Linked DNA regions of Oreochromis niloticus. Each later gene encodes a partner of the first gene's protein in a complex. Links are inferred from orthologs where the notes say so. Each region holds a gene or a part of one and is shown on either strand. Other genes may lie near its edges.

Region 1 (16,578 bases):
ATCATTTAAACAGTGTGGCGTATTTAATCAGGTTATCTTTTTCTATTACTAGTATTTGATTAATGATCTGAAACAGTTAAGTGTAACAAATGTAGGGGAAAAAACGGAGAAATTTTCTTATGATCTAATATGCCTAAATATATAGACATTTTTTAAGATCAATTTTAAATGTTCAAAAACATACTTTTTAAACTACTGCCTATTATATGCTTACATATAAATTATCAAGTCATCATCACTTTTCATTAAAACTAAATAGTAAGTGATAAAACAGTTAGCAATACAATACATACCAATAAAAACCATGTTCAAAACTATGTAAAAATATTATTATTACTATTATTATTATTATTATTATTAATATTATTAATATTATTATGATTGTGTCAAATATTTTAAACAACTAATAAATAATAAATCATTTTCAAATTACATACAGATGCTTTCCTGGATTGGTATGAGTCAACAGCCTAATTACACGGAACAAAAGTTTATGTTAAATATAGGTTAGGGTGCTGATTTAGCACAAAGGCAACAACTGAAAATGCTGAAAGAAATGCAACAGGTAATTTTTTTAAGTAATAGCTATTCTTGATTCATGGTAGAAAAGAAAATGGATAAAGAGATTTAGAGATTTAGAGAGCAAATTACTAGCTAATGCTAACTAGCAAGTAGCGTTAGCATGCTAAGCTAGGAGTTTGTTTTTTCAAATGGCCTCTCCAGGTGCTGCGTTTGCTCATGCTAATGGGAAAGCAAAGGCAAAAGCTTTGTTTAAGGACAGGAGGAGGACTTTTGTTGCTTTTGTGGACTGACACAGGAGTTTCTACGCAAAAGCTGAACTGCACTGGTGAGTCAAAGCAGCTGAGATTGCTATAACACCAAATGAGCAGTAAAAGAGGTATAACAGGGAGATAAATGAGGATTAAGGTGGGGTTTGATCAAATATTGAAATGACAATGTCTTTGGATAAATGGGGTTATTTTTGATACACACTATATATTAGAAAAATACAGTATTTTAATATCTACAGGTCATTTTATTAGGGACACATTCAGCTTCTTATAAAATATCTGATCGGCAATCAAATGGTAGCAGTTGAATTTGTTTAGGTAAGTAAACATGGTCAAGATGACTATGCTGAAGTTCAAACTGAGCCTCAGAATAGGGATAAAAACAATGCGTTGGCATGCATGTTGATGCCCAAGGGGCTGGTCTGAGTATTTCTGCTGAACTGCTGGTATTTTCCCACACAGTCATCTCTATGGTTTACTGAAAATGGTCCAAAAAGAGGAAAATATGAGATGAGTGGCAGTTCTCTTGCCCAACCTTGAAGCAGATGGGCTACAGCCACAGTAGACCACACAGAGTGCGGATGTTTTGTAGAAATGAGGCTACAAAACAAACAGCCTAACCAGTATTAGAAAATAGAAGATTGGAAAAGATGCCTGGTCTGATGAGTCACAATTCATCGTGGAATACTTGGATGTTACGGTCACAATTTAATGTAAACAACGTGAAAGCACAAATTCATCCAGTCTTGTATCATCAGGTCAGGCTGCTGGTGGTTCACTGGTGTGGGGGGATATTTTCTTGGCAGACTTTGGGATCCTTACTACCTATTGACCATCAAAGAATGAATTAAAGCAGCTTTGAAGGCAGAAGGGGGTCCAACCCAGTACTAAGAAGGTGTACCTAACAAAGTGGTGGGTCTAGGGTAGCCTAGGTAGATGAGTGGAAACTAACCTAAAATAAAACTTCAATAGATTTTTATTGTATCAATTAAAGCTACAAATTATGTCGTAAATATTAAGTGTCTACATAAATTAATTTAATCTCCAAAGTATGGTGAAGATCATTTCATCAACAGATGATTAATTGGTTACCTTGAGGCATGAAAACAAAATAATTTATTACTGTACAATTACTGTTAGTGCCTTCATGTAAATTTACTGCAGTATAAAGATAACTAACAGGAAGCTAGTTGTCCCAGCAGCTCTTGGAACAAAGGCTAATGTTTTGTTGTATTGATCTAGTTAATTGCACAGTTGCAGCGGCTGGCCCCTGGTGTGCAGGGATTCAAATGGAAGCCCTCCAACCTGGTATGTATACACAAATATAGACATGTACACATAACTGGAACCTCCGTGCACTACATCGCCTCTCTTCTTGCTACATCAGTCCTTGCCAGTTTGAAAGAGAGCATGTTTCCCTGTGTGTGGCCATGTAATGAGCCTGACCCTGAGGAGCTGAGTGCCTTCACAGATCTGTATGGTTCCCTCAGATTGCTTCTATCTTTTCAGGTAGAAAAACAACCCAGATGAATTCTGACATGCATTTATTTTTTCCTTGTCTTTCAGTTGTAACGCAAGTAGTGTGAGTCACATGTTGTTTTAACATATCTTGCAACGTACAGGTAAAAGACACAAGACATTGCACTTCAGAGTGGCAAGCCCATATAGAGGCATTCCTGCGCACATTCTCTTTGGCTAATGCCGGGGTATGAACAGATCTGTTTCCCCATCTCGAGTCACATGTTAGGCTTCAAGCAAAAAAAGTTTACATCTTTCTTATTTTTCATAGATACAAATCCACCTCAAACTCAAAATCAACGGGGAGACCTCACTGCGGGAACTGAGGTACAAGTGCATCGATGTATATCATAGCTTCTCCCTCTTGTTTAACATCTCACAATTAATGACTTTGTTTTTAAGTTCATTAAGGATGTCACTTTATAAACAGAATTTAGCTAGTTATTTTTGAGTAAGTTTAATATAAAAAAGTTCAAGCAAAAGAGTATTGCAGTAGATCATTGTAATTGCCTTGAGTGGTTTGTCTTGGAGTAAAAAGATAAAAACGAGACAAAAGGCTGGCTGTGCTAAACCCTCTTGAGTGGAGTCTGGATTATAAATTACAAAGGAATGGAAATATCCGTCTCTGTTTTATGAATTGCTGACATAATCATATTATTGCAGTGTAAAGTTCAAGAGAAGAGTTGCACTGGCGGACCAACTGTTACTGACCCTGGACGTCACCTGTTCTGCACCGTCAGTAATGCCGCTTTTAAAGATTTGACCAAAATAACTGCCTCCTATTGATCTGTCTGATTTTCTCTTGTCCCCTTGAATTTAAAGGCCTCCGTGGTGTGTGAAGAAAGGGTGCTGGTGTGTGAGAGGACACCCTGCTATAGGAGGCAGGTTGCCCCTCAGCATCCCACCACAAACCATGGAGCAGGGCCTCTTTGGGGATCTGAGTGTTCAGGTGGTTGCACTCCTGACCCCCTGTCTGCTGCCATACCCCAATGTGACAACAGAACTTACTCACATACAAATATCCTTTTCATGTCTTATCATACATCTGTACCACACAGTCTCATTTCCTGTCATGGTAGGCAAAGGAATTGAATACGAGGGGAAATTCAGACAAGGGCCTGACTCATTTGGGGCATCTGATTTGGATTAGTCTTCCTTAACATGTTTCCATGTGTTGGTATACAACCCCAGTAACATTCCTGTCAATGGCCCCTCTGGCTTCTTTCAAAAACTTCCAGCTGTTCTGGACTGTCAAGAGCTGGGACTAGATAGACTTTACTGCTCTTCTTTCAAAGGTAATCACTGCTGGGAACAGCATGTTCTGATGTTCAGGGTGTATTTTACCTCTTTTTGCTGAGAGGTTTGATTTCCCAATAAAAAGAGTGTAAAACGAACCTGATGTAGGTCCAAAGTCCGGAACAGTTAATCCTGTCCTTACGGGATATTAAGACATTGAAACAATTAGAACTTGGATTTGTTACCTTTGTTGAAGAAAACTCATTTCAACCACCTGCGTGGGTTTATGAGAGAATGAGCCCAAGCCTGAGGCTGCTAATTAAGACTTTTATGGACCTCATAAGGCCGACATTTGAATGGGAGAGGCAAAACCAAACGGAACAATGGACGCAGAACAGAAAACATAAACAAAAGCATTAAGCACTAAAAGAAAATGGACTACAGAATTTACTTTCTGTCACAACACAGTGGTTTTCCCTGCACTCTAAAAACCTGCCTCATGAGAATGGGGTTCATCTGCAACTAATTTGCACTTGAAATTTATTTCCAATACAAGATTTAGTGCTCCAGTCGCACCACAAAATATTCTCATAGCAGCGATTTCAGTTGTGGAGAAAGGGTTTGACCTAACTGTCTGTTTCCCATGAATAACTGTGCTTTATTACAGTAATATACTTAAAAGGTTTTTTCCTTTTTTTTTCAGAAGTATTTACATAATTTTTCATGCTAATAGCTTTTGGGATGAGCAGTGTTTCATTTTCGTTTCATTGATATTGTCACAGTGACAGTGTAGAAAGCATGTGGAATGTGAACTGTGCGCAACGTGCAGACTGAATGTTTGACTTGATGACAGTGCTAGATAAAAAGACAGGACAACCAGAGTTCCTACAAATCTATCATCTTGAGAACAGGACCTGTTTTGTTGCAAAATATTCAGCAGTTGAGAAGACACATCCACAAGACTGCCAGTGCCATGCACAAAAAAGTCTGTCCCATCAGAGTTACCAAAACCTTTTAGAGCAATCCGTCAAGTTTTTCGGGTTTAAATTTGGACCAAACTGATGGACATAGAGGCAGCAGCATTATAGTTTTCCAACATGTATTTTGCAAATTAGTTGTATATGGCATATTTGAATAGTTTATAAGATCATTTGAATTACAGAGTAGTAGTCTTGTAAATATTATATGGTTTCTCCTGTCAATGAGTACCTAACAAGCAGGACGCTCTTCTCTAAAAAAGACCAAACTATCTTCTTGCGTCCAGACAGCAGTCTAGTAAAATGAGCCTAATTTAAGTCTTTATTAACCATTTAGTCATTTAGATTTTATTTTAAGTAGTAGCAGCAGGTATTTAAAGCCTTACCCTAAAGAGAGCTATCAAAAAGAAACACATCAGTCTGGAAGCTACATTTTAAAAAGACTTAACGGTCACTGTTTTGCACACAGAGCAGACTGGAGCAGTTTGATTAAACGCACTCATGTAGTGATAACAGTCAAAATACGGCCCTTTTATCAGAAACTGCTCTTTCACAATAAGTGTTTCCCCCTTTGTATACAATAAATCATAACTACAAACAAAACCGACAGTCTGTATTAATCAGCAATACCCTGCCCATTCACATTCACACAGTGAAACCTGAAAACACCCCGTAATCCATCCTGCTTCACGCTGTCTCTGACCATCTTCCATCATCATTTATTTTATTTAAGAAGTTTGATTTGGCATGAAAAGAGACACGTTTGACATGTTATTTTTTAATGCTGACATAAAAGGCTGCAATAAATAAATAAATGCCCTTACAATTATCTGCCCAACCCAGAGGTGTGTCTTTAATTGCCAGCATGTTAGATACATGTCATGCTGGTTGTAACCCATGTGTGGCTTCATGCAAACACTCTGTTTTCTTCTTAAAATTCTTATCTCAAGTAACTCCCACTGTATCCATCTTATTATTTTCTTTACTTTGGCATAAATGTTTCAACATCCCCTGCAGATCTTGTGTATAGCGGCGGTACTGTGTACACAGTAGAGAAAGACAGCTGGGATGATCCAGAGCAGGAATCAAGTCTTCCCACAGTGCAGCAGAGTCTCCTGCTTTTCTTCTTCTTACAGCATAGTGACCCCTTCACCTCCCAGCTCACTGATCTTATGGGTGAGGAACCGCAGCAGCATGTACAGTCACAAAACCCTACACTGTAGGCAGCCTTTCTTTCAGTTTTCCAATGCAAACATGCAAATTGTTGATCATTCAGCCACCGAGGTGTTGATAGAGCTCCACCTGGAGGACATTCTGAACAACAACAGGCAGGCCGTCGTAGCAGCCGTGCAGACTGAGCTGAAGAACACACTGAAATCGCAAAATCACAGAAAAAAGGCATGACAAACACATACACGCACATGCACAAGCACACTAAGTATCCTACTTCTTTTACTTAGAGTTTTTAGTCCTCTAATGATAACTATTACAGTCCATTAACAGAAAATGAATCAGCAACAATTTTGATCATTGACATCTTTTCTCTCTTTTCACTCACTATGGATTGAATTGGTTATGCAATTAAGCACAACCCTATACTCAGGTAGATTGTGATGGTTGTTTTATATTCATTTCTAACACTTATCGGCACCAGAAAAAAGTAATTGTGTATGTTTGTGTGTGTCCTTAAGCAACAAGAAAAGCTGCACGCAGCTGCTGAGGTGATTCTCAGTTCGTCCATGAGCATCGTGAGCAGCAGCAGTAGCATGGACTTCAGAAATGCCTGTCTGAACCGCATGAAGGTGTGGAAAAACTGCCTGTCTCATGGTGTGATGCAGAAACTGAATACTGTATTCAGAGGCGTTGACAACTTGTTAGGTTTGTGTTTGTCAGGTACATGATACACATGAGTTGGCAGCCTCCCTCCGTGAATCACTGTGGAGAGTGACATCATGGAAATTCGTTCCCAGGGCCAAGTGCTTTTCTACTAAGGTGAGTGAGACGCTTGCTTTCCGCCAGCACCACCCAATTCCTATAGCAGCTCCTCATTACCACTGTACCTCTTACACTGAACCACAATCTGATGCAATGTCATTGTTTTAACAGATGGAAGTACATCCTGTACACGATGAGCCCACCACAGCAGAAATCTGAGAATCTCTGTGTTTATCTTAAGAGTTCTGTTATGGTTAAATGCTGCGGAGGCGGCAGAAGAGGGTTTGAATGTGTTTAAAAAATTTAAAGTGCACCAGTTGTGCTGCCAAAAGCAACATCTGTTTAATCCATAATTTTAAAAGCACAGTTGTTGTTATAGCTTGGTTGCACCAGTTTATTTTTGTAATAATATTCCAAGGCTCAAATTGATCTCAGTTTTTCTTATCAATGTTATACCCATAGAAAAACGTCTGTAGCATATATCTATTTAGGATGTGAGGTGACATCACGTAGTGCTGGAGTACCAAATATACATTATTTGAGTGAAACACAGGGGTTTAACAGGAAGGTTTAGTGGGCTATTACAAGTTTAAAGTCAGAGTTTTCAGTGTGATAAAAGTGCCTCTCTTTTTACCTACATCACCATGGTAACCTGGAAAAAAAGCCCTAAAATCAGAGGCAGTGATACCTTTGTATTTGTCACAGATAGCCAGAAGAATGCCCACCGGATCTTTAATGAGTATCTGTTGTTGAGATATCTCCCTAAACTGACAAGATTGGACCCTGAAAAAGCCCCAGTTCAGATACTCATCCGTGAAACATTGGCATTCATCACCAAGAACTGTGCAATCAATATAATCAATTTCACTTTGATCTGGTGGCAAACAAAAGTGATTTTCACATCTTTTGGCTATGTTCCAGTAAGTTTGAATATTTAAAATTTGTAAAATGTAAAGTTTCAGAGCTCTAACATGCATCCATCCTATTAGAAATAAACAACAGCATTAAAATAATTAACTGGAGTTCAAATGTTTATTTTACCACTTTGTGTGCTAAATGCAAGATTAACAATTATCTGCTGAATTAATTTCCTGTCTTATTTCTAATAGTTTTGCATTTTACTGTTGTATTCTTTAAAGAATTTGGTCACTATATTATCATTATCTTATATCATTTCTGATTGGAGTAGGTGGCACTCATAGGGATCATTTTATGCAGAAGAAGAGTCATATGAACAACTAAACAGGTAATACAATTTGGAATATTATCTAAATTTAGAAAAACAAGACGTTAACGATCATATAATTAAGTTAAGGATATAAATCGGTAAGGATGCAATTTTTCGCATTCTTATCTGATTTATGCAGTTGTTTACAGTGCAGTTGTTTCTAGAGTGCAAACGAGTTTTGATAGATATAAAAACAGACAATAGGAGTTATTGCAAGAATGAGTCTGTTTTGCGTAACCTGTTATTGTGTATCGTAACAAGTTCCTAATGTGTGCATGGACAAAAAATGTTAGTGTGTAGCAGTGATTGTGAGTGTGACAGGTCTGGGAAGAAGCCGTTTCCCAGCCTTGTTGTTTTGGCACTGATGCTGCACTTTGTGAGGTGAGGGGGTAAAAAGTCCATGGGTTTAAAGAGTCCTTTTTGATACTGGTAGCCCTGCTGATGTAGATATCTTTAATCAATGACAGGCTGCTGCTGCTGATCTTCTGCAAGGACACAATTGTCCACTCCAGAGACTTCCTGCCAGCAGCAGAGCAGTATCAGTAACACACACTGCACACCTATAAAAAGATCTGAGAATTGTGGTACCCAGACCAGTGCTATCCAATAGTTAAACTGTACACATATGTTATCCAGTGATTCCCAAACTATGGAGCAGATAACCAGATGATTAAATAAGTATAAATAGATAAGAGTTAGTTGCCATTTGTCTGACCATTATTCAGATAGAATTCGTGCGTCCTTTGTTTTTAATTGTTGATTGGATGAACTGTGGGGCATTTGCGTTTTTCTGCTTCTGAAGTGGGACACTGCTAAAGTTTGAAACAACCAAGTTACCAGGACAGGCTTTTATTTTTGTGGGACCGCCAACTTCCGTTTATTATTGTTACGAATGTGACGCATATTCCGGCCGCCAACACGAACAGCGCTTTTTCGCGGTAAAATGAAACAGGCATCAGGTCGACCATTATTATTTCGTTTGTACTGTCTAACAGCTAACCGCCTGTAGGTAGTATTTAGAAGCCGTGTAGTTAAAAAAAAAAAAAACTAGGGTCAGCGGCATTGTCGCGAAGTAAGAGTAAAGCTAACGTTAGCAGCTATCATCACAACATTGGAGCTTTTCACGTTTTCCACAACGTAATAACTGTATATCATAAAACCATGTCGCTAGTAACTACAGAGAGCTTAAAGGCTGAGCTGGAAATATTCGATATACCCTATCAGGATGATTCCGTCCTCGACAAAAGTAAGTTGCTAACTAAGATGACCGTTTTTCTCATATGGATTGAGGCTTTACACAGGAGAGTGTGCTAGCAAAGAAGCTAAGTGTATTATCACTGTAATCATCGAGGACTCTACCATACGCAGGATAGCAGTAATGTAGTGTTGTGACATGTAGTTTAAGCTGTTGTCATCAGTCATAATATTTATATACCGATGTCAATGCGCTTTTGTTAGTTAAAGCTTTTAACTAAAATAGCATTTTTCTTCTTGATAACTTACTTTCACAAGTCAAGTAAATTAGAAATCAGCTTTTTTTTGTTTTGATTTCATTGATACGTCTTTTATATTTACTAAGCCATTTTTAAAGATCAAGAACAGTAATTATTCACTGCAAGTTGTGTCCCACAAAATTAATTCACACTGTACTTGCTTCTAGTATTTTCTCAGACACTCAGATTAAATCCTTGGTTGTTTTCCCTCATATATCCTCCATTCAGTGGTGGAGCAGTGTATTTGTAACAGACTGCAGACATCCGAGATACTGCATGAGTGGGTTGCCTATAGCGCCACAAAACAAGGGGTGAAGCTCACCATGGACACTCTGGAGCAGTTTGAACATGAGGTAACAGGACCACAGATTTTAACATGCATTACAAATTACTTATTAAATATGCAACAATGTAGTCATTCTCTACTCCTTATAAATGCAGCATGTTTGTCATCTTGCAGGTTTTGAACAAGAAGAGCAAATCCAGAAAAACCTCCCGGAAGGAAGAAGCATCCAGTAGAATGAGAGACATTAGCAGGATGGATGATTTGTATCCTTCACACTGATGCTTCAGCGTAAAGACCCGTCCATCTGCACTGTGTGGAGTCATGTGTTTTCTTTGATTTGTGTCTGCTAATGTTGCTGTTGAGTCATAGACTTTGACAAAATGAATCAGAATAAAAGCTGAGGAAGAGGAGGAGGATCTCTTAGATTCTTACTCTACTCCTGCTAAGGTAACCAAACACTTCTTGCTTGTCAGCAGCAGAGCATTATCTAATCTGAACAAAAGAAATACATTTTCATAACTTTAAAAAAAAAGTGTATCCATTTATGTTTTGGGTTTTTTTGTTGATATTCCTTTAAAAGCTAAGATAAGCTAGATGTGACTCGTGGGTCTCCCGCAGAGTAAGTTTGAGTCTATGTAGACAGACAAGATCCTGACTGTGTTTGTTCCTGTCGGTACAGGGCTCTCAGAAACGACCTCTGACGACACCAGAGCATCCTCGTTCAAAGAGAACTGCAGCTCCGATGGCCAGCCCGAGCATACTGCTGTCTCCAGCCAGCTTCTCTCCCAAGTACTCTCCACCCCATGCTGCTCTGATTTTTTTTGAAAACATGAAAATTATGCTCTCTGGTTGTGTTAAAGTTAAAAAAGAAAGCTTTATTTTTGTCACTAGTAACTTTTTTAAAGATAAACTTTTGTATTTGCATCACTGTCACTTTAAGTGACCTCCCCTTCTCTCTTTGGAAGTGCGACACCCTCACAGAAGTACAGCCAGCGGGGAGGAAAGGGGGAGGTGGTGGTCACATTTGGGGCTGTGCAGGGCACCCGTTGGGTGGGCAGGAAAGACCCAGGTGCAGGCGTCCAAGTTGAGATATTGGAAGGACCGGAAGATTCCCTTAACAGCAGCTACAAATACATGTTCCAGAGGCTGCGAGATGTTCGAAACGGTACATAGTTGCACACACTTGATTAAAGATTTCCTGTATGTTTGAGTGTAAAATCACTAAATGAATATACTCCAGAACCTTTGGATAATATTTTTTTTTTCCTGGGTCTTTCCCAGTGTTGACAGAGAAGATTGAGGAGCTAGGAGAAGGACTCAGGACTCACTTCAGCATTGAGGAGTTCTCCCCCGTCTCTCTGCCTGCCCAGGTACAGAAGAGATGACACCTTCAGAAAACTTTTAAATTAAAGATTCATCCCCACTGCTTAAACAATAAATTATTAAATAATAGTAGGTTGCGATAAAATGTTACGTTACATCACTGAATTCTTTTTCCTCTTAAAATCATATATATTGAAGAGTAAAATCAAACCTGCTTAAGTCTGTTAAATGTATTTGTTTGATTAAAAGTTAACTTCTTTCTTGGGTTTGCGTCTTCTTCCCTGCAGGACAGTATAACTGTGCTAGGACAGATTTGCTGTGACAGTAACGGCAAACTGAATGCACAGTCGGTTCTGCTAGAGGCCGGACCAGAACAAGGCGGTCAGCAAGTACCTGTTGACCTATCGGAGCTTAAAGAGTATTCTCTTTTTCCTGGTCAGGTGAGCTGAAGAAAATATCTTACTTTGACAGATGAAACTAGAAATGGGTACGCTGATGAGGTCCTTCCTAATGACCAGTCGGTGGTTTCTCCTTTGCCTGTGCACTGAGCTTATGTGCAGCAGGTTATATGGCCACCAAGAGTAACAGAGCATGCCAAGGACATGGGCTTGAGACTGACCCAGTGTCTGACCGAGAGCTCTGACAGTTTTTCCTCTCATAAAAATAAACTTTCAGAATTATAGGAAACCTTTTATCAGCAGAAGCATGTAGCTTTATGTTTTTGCAGCTCTTTCCAACAAACCCACATGTAAGAAAACATTTATCTAAATGCTTCTATTCTGTTTTTTTAGGTGGTGGTGATGGAGGGAATGAACACTACAGGAAGAAAACTGGTGGCTTCCAAATTCTATGAGGTCAGTTATAAGTTTTAGGCTTTAACACTTTTTGCCTGTTTGTGAAACCTTTTGTAATGGTGTTGTGCTTTTAGGCTGTTCCTCTGCCGTTCTACAGTTCTAACATGAAAATGGAGACAGATGAAGGTAAGATCTGTCTTTTATTTTGATCAATTTTTCAGATTTAGCTTGGAACTTAAAGCCATCTTCTTACACTCCACACTCTTCATTTGTTGCAGAGCCACTGAATGTACTGGTGGCCTGTGGACCGTACACTCCCTCTGACAGTCTGACCTTTGACCCCCTGCTGGACTTAATCAATGTTATTGTCAGGGATCGTCCTGATGTCTGCCTGCTGGTACAGTCTCCCTTGTTGTTCCATCATAAAACAGACACTATCCATGACAGAATTTCCACTAAAGCTCACATGTACACTGTCAGGAGTGTATTATGAGGGAGACAGTCCTCCCATGACTCTGTTTTGTCTGGTTTTCCTATTTCTTGTTTCTCTTCTCCAGCTGGGCCCATTTGTGGATTCCAAACATGAACAGATTGAGGTCAGTGTGACAGAGACCGTGTTTTTCTTGATTTTGAGTGTGTACACCACAAGAGGAAACATTTCATGCGCATTTTTGCACGTAAATTTTGTTGCGCATCACACACACAACAAAAAAACAAAAACCGAGAGCCTGAGTCAAAATATCACAATGATAACAATGGGTCAAGTTTCCTCTTTAAAGCATGTGGTCCAATAGATAAGTGAACAGTTTTTAAAAGGACGACCATTCATAAGGAACAATTCTAAACTCCTGAACAGGACTTTATTTAACGATCAGTCAAAATAAAATGTAAAGGTTAAAAAATCAAATCAAAATGCTTTAAAAGGGATATGTGTGTCGACAAAAACTAATAGGTATCACTTGCTGAATAAAACTTCTGTGTTATCCTTCAAGATATAACACTTAACCCACAAATAAAATGATTAGTTTCAGTGTTATTGGGTCTGGAAATGTATCCAAATTTGCAGTGTGAATTCATTTTAATCAACATATATGTTTGTTTGTTCATTCTTTGTCATCTTCATGTGTTTCTTAAATAGAAAGCCCAGGTGACTGAGACTTTTGAGAACATTTTCAACAGATGCATTGAAAGCATTGTGGATGGGACCAGAAGGTATGTGTTGTCTAATCAAAGCTCAGAGTCAGACAGCTTTGGAAATCCCCCTATCCATGTCACTTCCTTTGTAATGTTGAATTCAGGATCCATGTGTGACCTTTTCTGCAATTTTCCAAAAGTAGCAGGAGGTTTTTTCGCTTTTGTTTTAAATCTGTGCCTTAAGGACATTTAGCTGCAACCCCATCTGAAACCCTGCGACGTAACCTGCATGCAATTGCAATTGCACATGAAAATTGTCTTTCTTGTTGCTGCATTTAATTACATTTATTTGTGCATAAACTATGTTATCACATTATACAAGCAAGTTAAGAGAGAGATCAGTCACACTGTAACGATTCGAGGTTTGTTTTTGTCTTTTGTTTTTTTTAAACTATGCTTTTCACCTGTTCAAATCAGATTTTCTTTACCACAATGAAGCCTCGTGTTTTCTCGTTTTCTTTAATCCAGTGTTGGCTGTCAGCTGGTGTTTGTGCCTTCTCAGAGAGACATCCACCACCATTTCATCTACCCACAGCCTCCATTCAGCCTGCCCCACATCAACAAAGAACAGGCCCAGGTTAGACACTGTTGTTGCATGCTGATGAGCACATGCAGCAGATTTCTGAGCACTCGTGGCAAACCTTATTTTAATAGTGTAGCATTGTTTGTCTTCCGTCCTAGAGATGTCATGCTCTCAGGTTATATAATGTTTGTCTTCATGCTTTGCAGCGTGTCACCCTGGTCCCTGACCCCTGCACCCTGCTGATTGACGGTGTGACTATTGGCTTGACATCAACTGACATCCTCATCCACATGGGTCCAGAGGAAATCAGCTGGTGAGTAAGGCTGTTTTCTAATTTGCACCAAATTCTGACATCAAGGTTGCAGTCAAGATCAGAAACACCAAAGTGAGTTACATTTTATTCAGATTTATAAAGAACAGGTGTGACCGTTTTCTTAAATTATTCACGTTTTCCAATGAAGGTCATCAGTGTACATAGTTGAAATTGATGTGTTGCATTGCAGTGGAACCGGCTCAGACAAATTCTCACGCATACTGAAGCACATGCTCACACAGCGAAGGTAAATCCTGAAGGAGTTCAGATCTATTTATTTATTTGAGGTCACGTATTATTTAGTGATCGTGTCCATGTTCTCATGTCCAGTTACTACCCACTGTATCCGCCTGCGGACGAGGTAAATATGGATTATGAGAAGTTCCAGAGCTTCGGCCAAATGCCGCTCACCCCCGACGTCCTTGTTGTTCCCTCTGAAATGCGCTACTTTGTAAAGGTAAACAACTCGTCTTCCCTTTGACATCCTATATATACACATTTATTGAGCTAATTGATTGCAGAATCATCAGGCATTGCATTGATAATATAAAGTAAAACAGAAAAATTATTGCTTCTTTTTTTTAAACGTGAATTTTTTTTTTTTCTTTTTGGATGAGTTTTTTACGAGTGTTATGTTATTTAAAATCCCCTCCCATCTTCAGGACGTGGTTGGCTGTGTGTGTGTCAACCCTGGGCGGCTGACCAAAGGCCAGGTGGGCGGGACGTACGGGCGGCTGCTCATCCAGCGCAGCCCTCAGTCAGAAGACGGGAAGAGGGAGAGCCCGTGTTTGACTGCTCAGGTGGTGAAAATCTAACAAGAGTGCAGACTCTCACTTCTAATTGTCACCAGAAGTGAGCTGGTTTAACCAGGACCAGCTGTGCTACAGGCATGCTGATGGAAAACCATTTAAAAAAAATTCTTTTGTATATTGGTTTATTTTTATACCTTGAATATGTTGAAGTGTACTGTGCTCATAACTGATGGATTATCAGTCAAATACAGCAGCAATAATTTCTTTTTCAATAAATTATTGTTGCCCTTTGTACAGCTTTTGTAACATTGTCTCTTCCAATTGAGTTTTATTGTTGTTCAGATGTTTTTTTTATGTTCCTGTGCCTCTAACAGGAGGAAGTAACACGCTGAAAAATCCGGTTGCTTTTGTAGCTCAAATTGAAAATAATTTTGTTTGCAGGGAAGTCTGAGTAATGTCTGTATTCCAGTTTAAGATTGTAACATTCAAAAATGCCTTTAATTAAAACAAGAAAAAATAAAACAGTTATTAAATAACCTGTTGTTTCTGTTTTTAATACAATATTGTAAAACACTACTCTGCAGTACTTAATTTTAAATACAGTTTTGTCTCTTTTAACTTGCACAGCAGTACCTTTAGTCATAAAAATGATCGAACTCATCAGAGTCATTTGGGTCCTCCGTCTTCGACTTGTCATGCTCCACTTGAAAAATTCCCATGTTGGGAAAACTTGCTGGAAAATAAATTGAGCATAAATCAAAAGTCCTGCAGCCTTTCTAATGCTACTGTAATGACTGGTTATACTGTACCTTTGGGCTTCTCTTCAGCTCTCAGATACTTTTCTCTAAAAGCAAAAGGAAAAGTGAGTGGCACATCTCACACTGTAATTTAAGTCAGTCAGTTGAAAGAGTACTTACTTTTCCTGTGTTTCTTCTTGAGGCGCAAGAAGGTTCTCAATATCATCTTCATCACTGACTTCGTTTGAGTCATCATTATCAGATCCTGTTTTACCCTCTTCCTGTTCCTGAGCTGCCTCATCAGTTATAATCTGTGTAGATCTAAAAACGGGGATTGCATTAGATTTTTGTGATGTCTGTGAGGAATATTTCAATCCTTCACCATCTTACCTCTTTTCTTGTGGTGTGACGATGCAGTTGTCTGAATCTATCTGATCTTCCTCACTCCCGTGTTCCTCTTCCTCACTTTTGTCATCCTCCTGTTGATTCGAGTCCTCATCCTCTTCTTCACTGCCTTCACTTCCATCCTCTTCGTCCTGAGAGGAGGCAGCACCCTGTTTTCTGTTCTCAGTGCCTTCGTTCTTCAGCCTGATTGACTGTTCTTCACCTCCCTGCTCCTCTATTTCATCATCTGTAGATGTCTCTGCTTCCTCCTCTGTTGCGTCCTTGGCAGAAGCACCATCACCTTGTTTGATATCGTAGTCATCTTGTTCTTTATCTTTTTGACTCTTCTCTTTTTCTTCACCGTCTTCTTCAGCTTCCAGGTTTTCCTCTGTCTTATCTTTAACTTTTTCTCCTGTGCTGCTTTGCTCAGCGCTGCTACTGTCCTGCTCTTCTACTTCACCGGCATCATCATTTTTATTCTTTGCACTGTCACTTTCTGATTCCTTCTCCTTCTGGGATCCTGACTCTTTGCATCTGTTTGTTTTCTCTTCATGATTTTGATTCCCTGCTTTTTCACCCTCGTATGTCTCACTCAAACTTCCTGACTCCTCACCAGTGTCCTGAATCTCGGAGTCACCTCCCTTACTCACAGTCCTTTCCTCTGCCTCCTTCTGAGATCCTGGTGATTGAACAGAAAGATCCCCAGTTTTCTTTGTCCTTCTGCTACTGCTCCTCAGGCTTTTCTCTGACGAGTCATTGCTTTCTGAACTTTGGGCCACTCCAACTGTGGGACTGAAAATGGCACTCGAATTCCCAGATAACCTGAAAGATGGAAGAATGGATGAATGAATTTGCTTGTCTAAAACAGTAGTAAGTATTAAGAAATAAAGCAAGAGGAGAACACTTGTTTCTGATCTTTTGTAACCTCCTCTCCAGCATGTGCCGTTTAACTAATATGTATTTTTAAAAACTTAAAAATTATATAAAATTAAGAGGTAACAAGAATGTGATGTTTTCTATAAAATGTGGGTTAGTGCTAAGTTGTTAGTATGACTGCCACACGCCATCAAATACTATCCCCAGCTTCATTTCCA
Region 2 (16,192 bases), on another chromosome or scaffold:
GCTCAGACCTGCCGATCACTGATCTCTCAGCAGATCTCACACCACCGAAAAGCTGCTTAACTGCATCAAAACAGGATTGACAGATTGTGAAGACTGAGTAAACAGCAACAAAACTGTAAGCCAAACAATGCACGGGACGTGGTTCGATTCACCAACTCCAGGCTGGCTGAGTTTCCCAATAATGACCCTTTATCCCAGCACTGAACCAAATTACCTTACTTTACTGCCCAACCTAAGCAGCAAGAGATAAAACCACTGAATTGAAGGTAGACAGAAGAGGAGCTCACCTGATGTGTCCCAAAGGCTGAGCTCCACACGCTGGTCTTCAAGCTCCAGACAGGCTGTGTAGTTCTCAAACACAGTAGGGACATAAGTCTGGAAACAATTAAAGAAAGAGATTTTAAAAAAGACAAACACACACAGAAACAAGTAGATTTAATTTATCAGTCAGTAAGAAAAGAAATTATAACAACATATTATCACATATTATTCTAGATTAAATTTTGCTTCTTTTTTTTTACATTTAAACAAAATCAACACATCAGTTCATGACTTGATGCTTAAATGTCAGCAGCATTATATATATGTATACGTGTGTGCTAAAAATAGCTAAAAAAAAAATATTTATTATAGCTTACACACTATTTATAATTATACCAATTATCCCCCCAAAAAATATGCAGAACAGAATCTACAACAGCGTATAAATGAATCATAATGAGACATTTTTTTAGGGATTTTTCCTCAGTATTGATCCTAAAACGACTGCAGACACATGAGACGTGTGCAGAAATCTCATACCTCTGGATAGCAGTCCTTCACCAAGACTTGTAACATCGCTGTTTTACCGCATTGGACGTCCCCAACCAGCACCAGCTTACACCTCCCTACAAACGGCTGTGTGAGTCTTCGCTCCTTCATGTTGGAATAAAACAAGAAGATCTTCAAAGGAAGCCCGAGTACAAATGCGGGAAAGTTTGGTAAATCCTCTCGGACGCCGGGTACAGTACGCGCTGTCCTCCTGCAGTGAGTGAGTGAGGCTGAGCAGCAGTCAGTGAAGGAGTCACTGCGGAACTTTATATTGTCGCGCCAACCAATGAGCGCTGCGCAGTGCGCGAGCCGCAGGAGGAGGGCCGTGCACGAGAGCACATCTTCTAATAGGGTTGGAGGAGCAGCTTGTTCAGACTTCACCACGAGTATCCTTTTATTTAATAGTACAAACGAATGTTCTTCTGCTTTTATTTTGGACTCTTTGTTTACTGTTTATGTGGGACATTAGAGGACACGTTAGACCAGGGATGTTAAACATAAGGCCCGAGGGCCAGAACGGGCCACCACTCAGGGTCTTTTCCAAACCACTGGATGGCTTGGAAAATGTGAAAATTATAAAAAAGGAGAGCATACATTTTTAGGGTTTTTACCGTGTTTTGTGTTAAAAAATTACACACAAAAGAGTGTGAAATGCTGCCCTGCCTGGCTAGACCAAAAAAATAAAAATAATAATAGATAAGCAGAAATGGTAAAAATGGCCTGTATTTATATAGCGCTTTTCTAGTCCCTAAGGACCCCAAAGCGCTTTACATATCCAGTCATTCACCCATTCACACACACATTCACACACTGGTGATGGCAAGCTACGTTGTAGCCACAGCCCTGGGGCGCACTGACAGAGGCGAGGCTGCCGGACACTGGCGCCACCGGGCCCTCTGACCACCACCAGTAGGCAACGGGTGAAGTGTCTTGCCCAAGGACACAACGACCGAGACTGTCCGAGCCGGGGCTCGAACCTGCAACCTTCCGATTACAAGGCGAACTCCCAACTCTTGAGCCACAATCGCCCCAGAACTTGACTTAAAAAAATTAACAAACCATGCAGGTAACAGGATTGACATAAATTATTTTATGGACAAATATCTACATTTAATTCGTGTAAAAGTATCTACGATGAGCATAAATAATGGGAACTAAAGTTTGATTTTATAGTCTTGTGTGATAGTCTTTCACATCTTTCTCCAGTCACAGTTTTTTTTCTTGTCAGACTCTCAAAATGTGGGACACATTTTGTAAGATAAGGTTTACTTTATCTGTCTAAAAGCAGGCGTTAGAGCAGCCAAAGCATTAAATGAAGGCACTAAAAATGGCGTAAAGCAGAATAAATAGTAAACTTTTTTTTTTTAAAAGATTAAATAAAATGCATTTTAAAAAGCAAAACAGTTAAATATATATATTAAGGGGTGAAAAAGAATAAAAAGGAGTGTTTCGTTGCAAGTGGGACACCTGGTCACACTTATAAATATCATCAGATTCTTGGTAAATACTTATATTGCTCTTTTCTACTCTAACTGTGCACTCAACGCGCCTAACACAGCTTGCCTCATTCACCCATTCACACTAGCACTTTTTTCTATGCTCTTTCTATCTAACATTCACACACATCCATATGTCAATAGATGCATCGGAGAGCAACTTGGGTTTATTTAGCATGCAGACTGGAGCAGACCACCTGAGCTACAGCCACCCCAAAAAGCTTCTTCACAGCTCCGTTTGCCTGTTTGATTCTGAAACACTGATGGATTTCCCAACTGCCTCTTTAGATTCAGCGATACTTATCAAGCTAATGTGCTCATGGGTTTTTTTTTTTAATTATTTAAAAAGCCTTCTAAAGCCTCAAAATACTCCAAACTGTGTTTTAGTCATTTTTATGCCTCTTGAATTTTTGAATCCAAGTCAATATCAAACATCCAACAGTGGCATGTGGAACTTTAATCCAGGATAACAAATACAGTGTATAACTCATGACATGCAGTTTAACCTCAGAATTGAAAATATTTGCATTGGAGTTCTAAATTTTCTACTATTTCTTGTTAAAGGTTGTTACCTTTAGGATACTGGATGCCTGTGCTGGCATTTCTCCTGCGGTGTTGCTATCAGTGTGTGAAGAGTGGGAGAAGAGGGTTGCATTGACAATCCAACACAATGGGCAGCACATTGAACACATTTTATAAGTGGTCAGAAACTTGTAAATAACTCATGAAAGAATAAAGTTACGTTGAAACCAAGCACACCATTGTTTTTCTTGTGACATTACCAATAAGTTTGATGTGTCACATGGCCCTCTTCCTATTGAAAAAACAAAAGTTGTATCCAAGATGGCCGACTTCTAAATGGCCACCATGGTCACCACCCATCTTGAGGAGTTTGCCCCCTCACATATACTAATGTGCCACAAACAGGACTTTAATAACACCAACCATTCCCATTTTATTACGGTGTATCCATATAAATGGCCCACCCTGTATTATAAAGAGTTACAGAAGGACATTAATTTCATTCTGATGGGAGCAGAAAGAAACAGAAACCCTGTCTGTGTCCAAATTGTCTCTAAAGTTCACTAATCACTTCAGGTATTATTTATTTAACCTGTTAAAACAAAAAGTAAAAATTATTATTTTAAAGCAGGTTTATGTGCAAAGTTACTTCTTGGCACGCAGGTGCATTTAGGTTATAGGGGCATCCAGCAGTTAATCCAGATGTTTTTGTGCCCAGCCAATCCAGTATTTCTAGAAATAAATAGATTAAAGACAGTATTATATGGTGAGCTCTGCTAAGCAGATTTCTATTACCGTTGGGCAAACCCAGGCAAGCTATTTCCCCCCTTTTCCTGGTTATTGTCCAAAGTAAACAGCTCTGTGACTCATGGTTAACAGACAGAAATGAGAGTGGTATCTGTTTTGTCACCAAATTCTCAAATTAACAGGGCAAAAGAGCGTCAGCAGTGCTAAATTACGGTATCTCTTTAAGTAAACACAAAACCCTTCCAGTGACAGTAAATCCACAAGTTTAAGGGGATTTTCATTGTTTCGTGTTTTCTTCCTGGAAAACTTCAGGCATCTTTGGCTATGAGTCTAATTTTGTTCACAGCTAATAAAAACAGATACTCGTGGGGAAATATTTGCCAACTCTGCTGGAAAATGTGATTCATGTAAATCAAATGTAGAGCAAATTCCTCTTCTGTCAGGCGGTTTTTGTAGGTGCATCCAGGAGTCATCAACAGCACCTCATCTATTATATGAGTGGTGTCAGTGATGGTTTTGTGTGCAGGGTAACAACAAAGTCAGCAATGAGCGCAAGAAAAGACCAGAGAAAACTAAGCAGACACATAAAGTTTTATTCTCCCCCTTAAACCTTGCCATACCTAAGGTCAAAGGTCATTTTGTCATGAAAAGGCTCAACTGAAATGGTTCAAAGTGTGGCATCACATAGAAATTCAGCTACTCTGAATCTGGTGATGTATACGTAGCCTGAAAGACTCTGTTAATTGAATTCATGTGTCACAGTCATGTAAGGATGCAGTTATTTTCACACAAAACATATGAGTGACTGCATGTGTGCACGTGTTTGTGTAACATACAGCGTGCAGCATACAGGGTAAAGTGCTGCCTGCTAAATCAAACAAATGACAGTTGGTTTCGTCAGTCTGGACAATAACAGATAATTCAAGAGTGTCGGCTGTGTGGCAGAGGGGAAATGGAGCATGGTGCGGTGTGCACAACATAAATGCCGAGGGCTTTTTATGAGAATGATGTAATGTGAGAAATGTGCGAGTTTGCAGGAATTTGTAAATGACTCAGTCTTGAGGTTAGCCTCCTCAGATTAACATTTCCCCATTTGTGAAATCTGTGAAAAGCCAACAGTGACTGTTTGAAGTTTCTGTGAAACTCAACATTTTATGATTATGTTGTTTCTACACTACTATTCTCTCCAGAATTGGATCATTTTATTTAGACTCAAGTAAAACCTCATTAAAAATAGCATTACTATCATTATTACTATGAGTACACCGCATGCTACTGTACCCTATTATTGGCAAACTGATGTACTTAATAAAAGTAGAGAGAAACACAGTAGCAAAATAGGGGTGGTACATGTTGTTTATGTACATAAACAGAAGATAAAGATGGAACCAAGTGTATGTTTATGTACAGCATATTGTATTTACAACCGTCTATTACCTAAAGAATAAATGTACTACTACACACTGTTCACCTACATTAGGTTTATAAAGAAAAATTGGTATCCAAGATTTTGTACATCGAATATAAACCCATGTAGTAAAAAGAAACTTAACTTTCATTATAAACTGGTTTTTGGGTGATTGTTTTTTTTTGTTGTAACAATCTTGACTTGAGTATGTGGGCTGTGCCCATGAAAAATCTTCTCTGTCAAGGCAAGACATCTTATTTTGCTTTAACTCACTTAACCTGGTTCTGCCAAAGGTTTTTCCTTCTCATTGTCACCAAGTGCTTGCTCACAGGGAGACGTCTGATTGTTGGAGTTTCTCTGTATTATTAGGGTCTTTACCTTACGATAAAAAGCGTCTTGAGGTAACTGCTGTTGGGATTTAACACTAGATGTATTGAATTGAATTGAATTGAATTTTGGTGTCATTTATTGGATTGGTTGATTAATGTCTGAAGAAACAAGACATTGGCAATTTAACAATTGATTCATTTAAACAACAGAGACCAGCATCTTATTCTCTGACCAACACTCTCACATTGGCTGACTTGCAACAAATGCTGGTTGAAGAATGAGATGCCATCCCACAGCAGTGTGTAGCCAAGCTGTTGACCAGCATGTGGAAGGAGATGCGCCAGGCTATTGTAGGTGTGAATGGTTCTTTCACATCCTACTGAGTCCTCTGTTTGCTAAATTAATAAATTATTAAATTTCCAATATGACTCTATGTCCAATCATCCAGGTAAGGAAATCCCCCCCAAAAAAGATTCTGGATGAAGTGTTTTCAGTGGGAGAAATGTTTCGTCACTCATCCAAGTGACTTCTTCTGTCTTAGCTGACTGCAGGTTTCCTGAACTTCGTAAATAGTACATTTGCATAATGACTGACACTAGCACCACTGACTGACAATGGGCCATGAGGTCAGTTTCGTGGTCATTAATTTGCCAGTTGTCATGACCATTGATCAATGACCATTCCAATATGTCTTGTCTTTTTATGCTTAAATCATCATATCATGTTTGGCTTAGCAGTCTATAAAAGGCGTCAGGTGATACAATGTTTCACCTGTTACCAGTCATTTTAGTTGGTTTTATTGTGTTTGGTGTAATTTTACCTTTTTTGGGGGGGGGGACGCGTCTCAAGCTTCCTGCCTTAATTGAGTCGGTAGAAGCCATTCTCATGTTAACACCGGTATATGTAAAAATACATAAACATATGTATGCAGACACAAGTAGACCAGGATTAGAAGCAAGACAAGCAAGCAGTGGAATCCAAAAATGAAAACAATTAGCTCTCATACCTCCTTTGGTAAGGTTACTGTATCTTTGGACATACATTTTTGTGTCACTCCAGACTGGTTTTAGGGTTTCTATTAGCCTATTTCACCAGGTTTTCCTGATGAAAGGCAACATTGGCACACTTTGGCGATCTAAAGACACAGTGACTTTTCAACCATGAACTATGACTCCTCATGTACAACAAACACAATGACTTATGGTGCTGGCCAGTGGGCTCCGTGGACACCTGAAAGCAGTCTGACCTACATTCATCAGCTGAAAATTGTATCTTCTCCCCATGTTTTACCTTATCTAACTTGCCCCACTGACATTTAGCATTGAGCGTGCGGCTGTGACTGGTAGCTATGTGTTACAGTACGTATCTACATGCATGATGAGCCACTGGAGAGCTTAAATAGCAACAACAACTCACAGAAATGATTGATATTAGAAACTCCTGAATGTAAATATGCATTAATTATATACTCTAATATACAGTAGAATTGCGGATCAAAGCAACAGAAGGCATTAATCCCAAATCTGATTCAAGTGATTTCTAGAAATTGATTCAAAAGGGGGAAAAATGCATCGCATCCAATATGCCTTGCAGTGAATAAAATTTGCATAATTCAAGTAAGATGAGGTTGAGAGCTCTTGCATTATGCAAATCAGGGTATGAGTGGTATATTAGCATAAAGTGCAATCATAAAAGGAAATGTATTGGCATTACTTGTCTATCAGTTGCTCTTGAGTGTGGCACAGTTCACTGAAGCTGGTTCATTACCATCAATCTAGAGTGTAGGTATTACACATGTTACTGTAGTTGGCTCGCTCAGCATTTACATGTGTGTGTGAAAGTGGAGAGGAAGATTAAATTTAGTGCATATGAAGATGTTTTCCCTTGAAATATTGCCTGTATATTAGAAGCTACAAGTTACTGTTATGTCTTCAGTGGGGAAGGATGATTTTGAAGGTTTGTTGTTTGGTCTGAAATAAAAACAGAGTGTCAGAGATGAATAGAGATTCAAGTCTGGGGATGAGACGGAATGAATAATATTACAGAGCCAGACATATTTAAAGTACAACACTGCAAATAGAGAGTGTTGTTTCACATTAGAAGTACAACAGCTGACAAGGGCTCTTGTGGCTGCACACCTCTCAACCTTCACTGTGAGCAGCACCACTTCAGTCAGGAGGTGTTTGATGCACCACAGTGAAAGCTGTAACACTAATAGTGCAGCAACCCAGACTGATGGGCAGGACAGAAAGAGGCTCCATGCCTGACACTTTTTGTCTTGAAAGCGCATGTGGCCTTTTCAAATGTCAAAGCAAAGGGTGGATGTGACTGAAGAGTAAAAATGGCATGAATCAATCAATCAACCCAAAAAAGAGCTGAAATAAGCTGCTGTTTGTCCTTGTTTAGCTCATTTGGATCTCGTATTTGGCACCATTTCGTCCATGCTTCACTGAAAACTGTGGAAGTGTCCTCTCCTCTTTCCTGAGTGTTTACTGCTCATACCAAAGATGCAAGAAACAGAATAACTGAGTGTTTTAGTACAACTGATCTGCCAGGATGATGAAAACTACTAAAAGAAAACAAATTTCCTGAAATGTGGATTAATGTGGGAAATTTCAAATTATTGTTATGAGACTGTACTGCCCTCTAGGGGTGTACAATTCAATTTTTCCAGCTTAGGAAAAATTGAATTGATAGTATTATATTTCTTCTCTTTTCCAATCCACTTCACTCTTTCAATCAACATTTTTTATTGAATACCTGAGGATGAAGTAAATTTAAAGAAGGCTTGAAGATAAAGAAACCTTTGATGAGGCATCTCTCTATTACCCTTCTTTGTCTTTTCTTATTCTTCCTTGATGGAGGATACATTAGCCAGTTTCCCCCCCATTTTTGTTTGTTTGCTTTCAGTTTCTAATTAGTTTACGGAGAAATGTTGTTTTGTCCTATGGCCCATCATGTGGCATCTCAGACTCCGGTCTTTTTGTTTCCTTTGCTCAGGCCCCCAGACCCTTGTAGTTCATTTATATTTACGTTACTCTAAAAACACTCAAATAAACACTTGATCATCACTGTATAAACCAAAGAAACTTCAGGGATATCACTCTGTCCGTTTAAGAAGCATAAACCATCATGGAACATTTGTATCAAAGCTGGGTCTCCCAACATCCACTGAAGGATGCAAGGGCCTGATGCCATGCCACACAGCAAACCTTTCAGCCTGTCTGCATGTTCTAACCTGGAAGAGCGTGTCACATGTGTGACCTGAATGGGCTGCAGATACCATCTCATGCTACTGGTAGTATCAAGGACACAAGCAAAAAGCAAAAAATGGAGGAGGGATGAAGTGAGAGCAATGGTTGGATGGATTTATAATAATATAGTAATTTATTCATTCATTCATTGTTAATTTATTTCAAACATGTAAACAATATACATGTTTGAAATAAATTAACAAGTAACTAAGTAAAGAAAATAAGAGAGACAAAAATACTATACAAAAGTCAATACATTTCAATATTGCTACCGTTCTGAGTAATTTATGGAGCTACTTTACCAAAAACCACTGTATTGTATTATATTCTGTGCTCTTTGTGTTTTGTTTTCAGGTTTACTTATTGAGCTACTTTATTTTTTAAATAATTAATTTATAATGTTTACCACAGCGTCTTTATTTTGTCATATTGTACTTTATAGTTGTTGCTGCCAAACGACTACATGTCCCATGAGCCTCTCTTCACTGGCGTCACGTCCGCCTTTTTTAAGCTTCTAGGACTAATATTACAAGGTTAACTAAAACCAGAAGGGAAAAAAAGAAAGCCATTGTCAATGTTATAGTAACGTTTCGATGCAGTAATAGTTTAAAAAAATCTCATTACCCTGGATGATTTTGCCTTCGTTGATTTTTTTATAGCCTAAAAGAGAAACGGCTGCCTTGCAACTTCCTGGTTGTGGTGATGTCACTGACCTAAACTTGTGTCATTGGTTTGGTCTGTTGCTTGAGAGTTTTCCCGCGCTACCCTCGGCGTAAAACAACACAGTGAGCTGTCACGGTGTAGCTAGCGGCTTAGCAATATTTTACCGTATCTTTACATCCACAGCTAATTTTAGCTATCAAATAATGCCATCATCAGACTATGATCCAGCTTCTCTGCCGGACCTATTACCGCTGTACTACCGGCGGCTCTTCCCATTCTCCCAGTATTACCGCTGGCTGAGCTACGGAGGAGGTGAGTACACAGGCATGGAAACCTAGCATAAATAAGCTAAATAACTGGGGGTGTTGATCTGTGTTGTGTTATATAGGAAGCTAACGTGTTTTGTTAGGCACTAAAATGGTAGAATTATTCTGGATTTGACTTTCTTCCAAATTAGTAAGTCATCCTATACAGCCATTCTAGCTTCATGTTAATCCCTCTACTTTCATCAGTAAAGATTAAAATGATTTTGTATTAATGCATCCTACGAACACTGTAGTAATGCTGTTGTTTAACAGGGATGCTGAAATTCTGGTCAGTTACCAGTGTTTAGAATAGTGTTTAAAATAGGTCAGTAGCCAGTAATGAAACAAATGTTTGATTTGTTTGAATTGTTTTGCTGTTCTTCAGCACGTTATCATTTATCCAGCATAAACATTGCATTAGACACTCAGTTCATCTGCAGATAAATGTGAGCACTCTCTTCTTGACCTCTGTTGTGCACCAGCCATTATTGTAACTGCAGATGTATAAATATATCCACCTTTACTACCACTCCTTGCAGCTTCACTGTTACACCTGTCTCCCTCTCATTCACAGACATTTATTTTGTATTACGTCTACTGACTTTCATTCCTCATTTCAGAATGGATGGTTGCAGTACTGTAACATATGCTTATAAATGAAACTGTAAAAGTGCCGTTGACAGTAAAGACAGGATCCACTGCTCTGTGATGCTGACATGTATAACTATTAAGAGTTAGACAGAGAGTTAAAAATGCCCAAATACAGGACTAATGTGTGTGTCTTGTTGAATTTTTTTGTTTCTTTGTTTTTCTTGTACAATCTCAGTGCAGAAAAACTACTTTCAAAATCGCGAGTTCTCGTTTACCCTGAAAGATGACATCTATGTACGCTACCAGTCGTTCAGCACGCAGAATGAGCTGGAGAAGGAAATGCAGAAGATGAACCCCTACAAGATCGACGTGGGAGCAGTGTACAGCCACAGGGTAATTTTCCACACCTTACAGAGTTTGTGCATCACGGCAGACATATGTATGGAGTATGTTTGTCACTCTTTGTTGCCCACAGCCAAGTCAACACAACACTGTGAAGTCGGGGACCTTCCAGGCTCTGGAGAAAGAGCTTGTGTTTGATATTGATATGACAGATTATGATGACGTCCGAAGCTGCTGCAGGTAGGTTAATTATGTATTTATTTCCTGTCGCAATCGCGGAATATCCTGACCGTTTCATCGCCCACATAACACTTTAAAACTGTCATTTTAGTGCTGCTGACATCTGCTCCAAGTGCTGGACCTTAATGACCATCGCCATCCATATCCTGGATAGAGCTCTTCGAGGTTTGGTCATCACAGATTCAGTGCCAGGTGACAGCTTGTGTGGATTTTTGTTGAAATTCTCATCAAGCATGTGTTGGTTTTTGTGTTACTTCCAGATGACTTTGGTTTCCAGCACCGTCTGTGGGTTTATTCTGGCAGAAGAGGAGTACATTGTTGGGTGTGTGATGAAGCTGCCCGGAAACTCTCTGTAGCAGCGCGCTCTGCTGTGACAGAATACCTCAGCCTGGTCAAGGTACGAGTACTTCAACTTTTAATAGAAGTCCTTTGTAAGTACTTTCTACTTCCTAACTTAATCAATTAAAGTTTTTTGTTTCTTTTTTTTATAAACTTTAATTAACAGATGTTATTGGATATAACCACAGTTAACAGGTTGGGATTGCTAAAACATAATTTGAATGTATAACGCAGTTAGAGAAAAGTCAGTCTATTGATGCATTGCACATAAACCACCAAACGCTACTTGTCCTGCCAGACTACTATAATAAGATGTTGAACTATTATTATTATAATTAGAACAAAGTGTCGCACGTACATTACAATGTGCTTCATGTGGATTCATAGAACAGACCACACAACAGCTAGAACAGCATGCGATAGATAGACATGGAGTACAAATATTAAGACTCTTAAAACAAAATTAAAAGAGCATTTATTAAAACTTAAAAAAGATAAAACAAACTAATACCAGGGTTTGTATGGGTACTTGAAATCCTCGAAAATGCTTGAATTTTAATATTGTCTTTTCAAGGTTTGAAAAGTGCTTGAATTTCAGATGTGGTGCTTAAAAGTGCTTGAAACTGTATTTCATTCACCACAAATAACTATCTGACCGAATAGTTTTCTTATCAGATAGAGAAAGAAAATGAGTCGCAAAGTCTAAAAGCAAAATTTCTCCACCTGGGCTGCCAAGCACCTCTGCATGTCAGTCTGTTTCAATGTGTGACCCCGCCCCTCCCCCGGACAGTTGGGGATGAGTGCACTAACATGCCTGGAAATTGCCGTTTTAAGTGTTTGATGGAAATGACAATGGCAGAGTTTGCGCTCTCGAGTCACATGATAGGTGAGTCCTAGTAATTAATTTTTGAGAATGTGTACATATGTGTACAATGTGTACGTGCACATTTTTAAAACTATTATTATTTTGCTAGCTATCAAACTTGCTGGAGAAATGATTGAAATGCACTGAGTGTGATGTAGTACGGCAGCGCTATTATAGCAGTTAGTTATGGCATCGCATGGTGATTTATAGAATATGCTGTGAATTTGGCTAACATTACTTAGCAGTAGCAGTAATGTGAGTTACTTCACTCAAGTAAAAGCTTTAAACGTTAGTCCGATACTTAACTAGCCAACTTAAGGCTTAAGGAAATAATGGTAATAAGAGGGACTGATCCATATGGGCACAAAAAATAGCCACTTTTGTTGTGCTACCGAAGTTCCCTGGCTTTCATTCAAAATCTGTTTATTTTTATAAATTATAAATGGCTTCAAGCTCACATTGAGGCCTGTGGGGCACTATCAGCCACTGAGACAATAGACAAATTTGAGTGTTTTAATATATGAATATTTTATACTTTAAGGTTGCCTGTTTATTTAATGGAGATGAACAATATATTATAATTGTACCTAATAATATCACAGATGATAGACTAAATAAATAGATTTTAGGTAGATGCTTGTGCATTCTTAAAGTCTTATATGTTGAATTGAACTATGTCATCTGTTCAAAACCTCTCCCAGTCAGAGCTGTTCTCCAGGCCTGTGTTATTGTACATGGTGTTATTAGCACAAACACTTTAAAGGTGATCATTTATGACTTGAACAGTAATGCAGACAGCAATGTAGTTAAACTTACAGTTGGTTTTATTGGGAATTAACTTTAACCTGTTAGGCCTCCAGGGGTTTTCTGAGCTTTCTGCTCGAAAATGAAATGACCAAAATAAATGGAGTATTTCTCTACAATTACAAACTCTGTGTAAACAGTCTTGGTATCAAAATAAAGGTAACACTTGTGAGATGTCATCAGAGGTGTAAATATTACTGCAGATGTTACTATGTCAACATTGCTGTGACTCAAACATAGAAAAATGTGATATTTTTTTTTTATATCCCTCGCCTAATTTTTAAAAGTATTTTATAGCATATAACGCCTTTGAAAATATGCTTCGGTTCACATTTAACTCCAGAAAATCATAAATCAAAATATGGATATTACCTGTCCAAAGATTCATGGTGACGTAACTGCTCTAAACTGTTTAGTGTCTTTGCTTTGTTTGGTGTTTGTAGAAATGGTTTATATGAGATTTTAGCTGAGATTCAGAGGTTTCTATGGACACTACTCATGTCGGCACTTATATTCTGACCTCGTGTTATAACAGATTAAAGGTGATCTCCTCCCTTTTGCCCCCATTTTTTGGGGCGTGGGTGATTAACTAGTTAAAAAAACAAACATCTGTCTCCTATTTTTTGTGCCACATAGGAAAGCCAATATCTGATGAGAAGACTTATTAATTTGGCCTTGCTGTGTATTATTGTGGTGTTTGGTGTTTGGTGCAGTTTTCTTGTTTTGTGCGATTGATGTTTTTTTGTTTTGTTTTTTCTTTTCAAGTGGAGAATATCTCTACCAAGTTGATTTATTCACATTTGCAAATCTTAATTTTTAAGAAAAATGTGTTTTTTGAGTTTGTACACTATATGAATATAATGCAACACTTTCCTTTTTCAGTATTTGTCTGTATTTGTCTTTTCTATGTTTTAACAAAAGGCGAACAAAGGACATTTAAGTCAACCTAAAATGATTTGTTTTCATTTTTACATGGCCTTACTGAGGTGATGCTAAGAACTGGGTAATGTGCTTGAAAAGCTTGAAAATGGACCTTGAAAGTGCTTAAAAAGTGCTTGAATCTGACCCTGAAAAATGTGTATGAACTCTGTAATACAGTACTTATTGAGTTAAAAGATGTGACTGTTTTCCTTACATCTGCACAGTCTTAGGACTCTGATTTGATTATTAATCAGACTGTTGTCTTATTTGTTGTTTCATGAGTAGCATACTAGAGAAATTTATCTTCCTCAAATGGCCTGCAATGTTTGATTTTAAAAATGTGATGTTTTGTAGGGTGGTGATGAAACCGTGAAGAAAGTAGTGCTGACTGAACCAATTCACCCTTTTATCAGGTAACTGTTTGATTAATTTTGGTGTTAGTCTCTTATAGTCTGTGTCTGTGTTCCAGCAAGATTGTACCCATTTATTTTTCAGTATTTTTCTTGCTTTGCCTCTCTTTCATCAGCACAATCTCTGGACATCATTTTTAATTAGGACCATTTTTGTAAGCAGTGACACACTGTGTTCTCGTTTGCCTTGTGAATTTGCTAATTACTTTCACTGAGACAGCTGTCCTGGATTTCTGTGCTTGGGTGCAGTTGTGATCACAGTGATCACCATGTCTGGATACAGTGATCACTGGTTACACACTCTTGGGTTCAGTGCACTCTGTGCTTTTTAAAATTGTGCCTCTTTTTAACAGCAACTCTCTGGACGTGGTGAAGGAATATTTTACCCAATATGCACTACATGACCAGGACCTGATGGGAAGCAAGGAGTCTGTAGAAAAAGTGCTGGCACTCGTTCCTGAGGATATCCTTTTCTTAGTTTACCGCATATTTGCCGCATAAAGTAATTGATTGGACCTATAGACATTTGTTGGCAAAGACTTCAAAGATCTTGTTGAAAGTGACTTGACTTTATATATTACATGCCAGAAGCTACCTACAGCAGGAGTTTGAAAAGGAGAAGAAGCCTGAGAAACGTTGGAAACTGATTACGACAGAGGCTAAGAGGAAACAGGTTGGTAATTTTGCTCACAGTTTTTACATTGTTTTACACATTAGAACAGAAGGGCTTGTCGTCTTACAATCTGTCTCCCTGAAGAGCACTGCAAAGAAGGGCCAGTACTTTGAAAAAGAAATCATGCTGCAGTATTGTTACCCACGGCTCGACGCCAACGTCAGCAAAGGTGTGAACCATCTGCTGAAGAGTCCTTTCAGTGTACACCCCAAAACAGGTGAGCATACTTTAAAGAGGCTTGTATTGGAAATGTCTGGGTACTAAGAGTACATGCTAGTAATGTTAGTAATATTGTATCACACTTTTTGGGCAAAGGTGCTCCTTGGAGTCAAGATTATTTGCTTGTTTCCTATATTTTTGCATATTTGTCAGACTCAAATGTTTCAGATAATCAGATACATTTTGATATTAGACAAATATAACCCAAGTAAATATAAAATTCTGTTTTTAAATGAATGAAAATTTTAAAATAAAAAAAGCTTATCCAAACCTACCTGCTCGGTGTGGAAAAAGTAATACACTGGATGGATATAAAATATTGGCTTCTTCATTCTGTTAAATGACATTCTGTCATTCATATCAAGGTTTATATTCCTGAAATGTCAGGGAAATGTCAGCTGTCAATAAAGTGTGTCAGTATATCAATGTCAGTATATCAATAAAGGCTTTTTATTGATATACCTCAAAACTCAGAGGACCTTGGATGTTTTTTCTTTTGTTTCTTTGTCCCCAGGTTAATCTAATCTGACTTAAGTATGAGTGCATAAAACTGCATCCTCTCTCTCTCTCTCTGTCCAGGCCGCATTTCTGTTCCCATAGATGTCAGTGAATTGGACAAATTTGATCCCTTTTCTGTGCCCACGATCAGGTAATAATTTAATGTTTGGTGCTCTGTTGTCTGCAGCATGTGAGTGATCCTCAAGAAGACTGATGTTGTAACATTTTGTTTTATCTTGTTGTAGTCTGATCTGTGAGGAGCTGGATCGGCCCAGGCCAGGCGAAGAGAAAGAGAAATTAGGGGATGGGAAGGAGAAGGAAGACGAGAAAGATGCAATAGAGAAGCGCAAGATCAGAGGTGCTGGGGGAAAGAAAAATGCAAAGATCTACCTGAAACTTTTACCTAAAAATACACCTGGATAGCACATAAAACTTTGAAATCTTTAGGCCTTTAAATGGGCTGACATAAGGTGTTTTGGGGGCTAGGGTCTTCTCAACGGTATGATGTTTTTTTCTGAGTGTAAAGATCATATGACGTAAAATAATCACCCGCACTCTCTAAAATGCTCCTTACATAATTCGCTGAGACGTACAGGCCTAGTCACTAGTAAGCGATACAAAAAATTTGAATTCCCCTGCCAAGTGGCCAATGTTTGCTGGAGGTTGCTGACTGTTGCTAGGTGAAATTGTTTGCAAAGAGCGTGCTTCATCCAAAATCTTATGATTGTTGTGGTTGCTACAAGATCACCTATTGT

What was found.
Region 2: pola2 (region 1) and prim1 share a complex: the UniProt entries of both Homo sapiens proteins name them as parts of the alpha DNA polymerase complex. The link is inferred for Oreochromis niloticus from reciprocal best matches to the Homo sapiens genes POLA2 and PRIM1.

The regions. Positions count from the first base shown.
Region 1 is NC_031966.2:21,168,919-21,185,496, reverse strand, and holds pola2 (DNA polymerase alpha subunit B), read left to right. Parts: upstream 1-8,580; 5' UTR 8,581-8,846; coding exon 8,847-8,931; intron 8,932-9,406; coding exon 9,407-9,531; intron 9,532-9,638; coding exon 9,639-9,727; intron 9,728-9,853; coding exon 9,854-9,911; intron 9,912-10,143; coding exon 10,144-10,253; intron 10,254-10,429; coding exon 10,430-10,629; intron 10,630-10,745; coding exon 10,746-10,834; intron 10,835-11,074; coding exon 11,075-11,227; intron 11,228-11,578; coding exon 11,579-11,641; intron 11,642-11,715; coding exon 11,716-11,767; intron 11,768-11,859; coding exon 11,860-11,978; intron 11,979-12,138; coding exon 12,139-12,177; intron 12,178-12,719; coding exon 12,720-12,793; intron 12,794-13,243; coding exon 13,244-13,352; intron 13,353-13,504; coding exon 13,505-13,611; intron 13,612-13,801; coding exon 13,802-13,858; intron 13,859-13,941; coding exon 13,942-14,068; intron 14,069-14,273; coding exon 14,274-14,426; 3' UTR 14,427-14,899; downstream 14,900-16,578. Other genes in the region: top6bl (type 2 DNA topoisomerase 6 subunit B-like), read left to right, coding at 545-565, 724-847, 2,034-2,099, 2,179-2,300, 2,414-2,497, 2,581-2,636, 2,973-3,044, 3,132-3,327 and 6 more; eukaryotic translation initiation factor 5B, read right to left, coding at 14,999-15,096, 15,173-15,207, 15,281-15,421, 15,491-16,306. UniProt on the Homo sapiens protein: Accessory subunit of the DNA polymerase alpha complex (also known as the alpha DNA polymerase-primase complex) which plays an essential role in the initiation of DNA synthesis.
Region 2 is NC_031984.2:12,813,564-12,829,755, forward strand, and holds the start of prim1 (DNA primase small subunit), read left to right. Parts: upstream 1-9,251; 5' UTR 9,252-9,433; coding exon 9,434-9,542; intron 9,543-10,361; coding exon 10,362-10,519; intron 10,520-10,601; coding exon 10,602-10,708; intron 10,709-10,799; coding exon 10,800-10,873; intron 10,874-10,968; coding exon 10,969-11,105; intron 11,106-13,991; coding exon 13,992-14,050; intron 14,051-14,400; coding exon 14,401-14,510; intron 14,511-14,628; coding exon 14,629-14,720; intron 14,721-14,804; coding exon 14,805-14,937; intron 14,938-15,518; coding exon 15,519-15,588; intron 15,589-15,682; coding exon 15,683-15,795; intron 15,796-16,192. Other genes in the region: rho-related GTP-binding protein Rho6, read right to left, coding at 288-375, 802-921. UniProt on the Homo sapiens protein: Catalytic subunit of the DNA primase complex and component of the DNA polymerase alpha complex (also known as the alpha DNA polymerase-primase complex - primosome/replisome) which play an essential role in the initiation of DNA synthesis.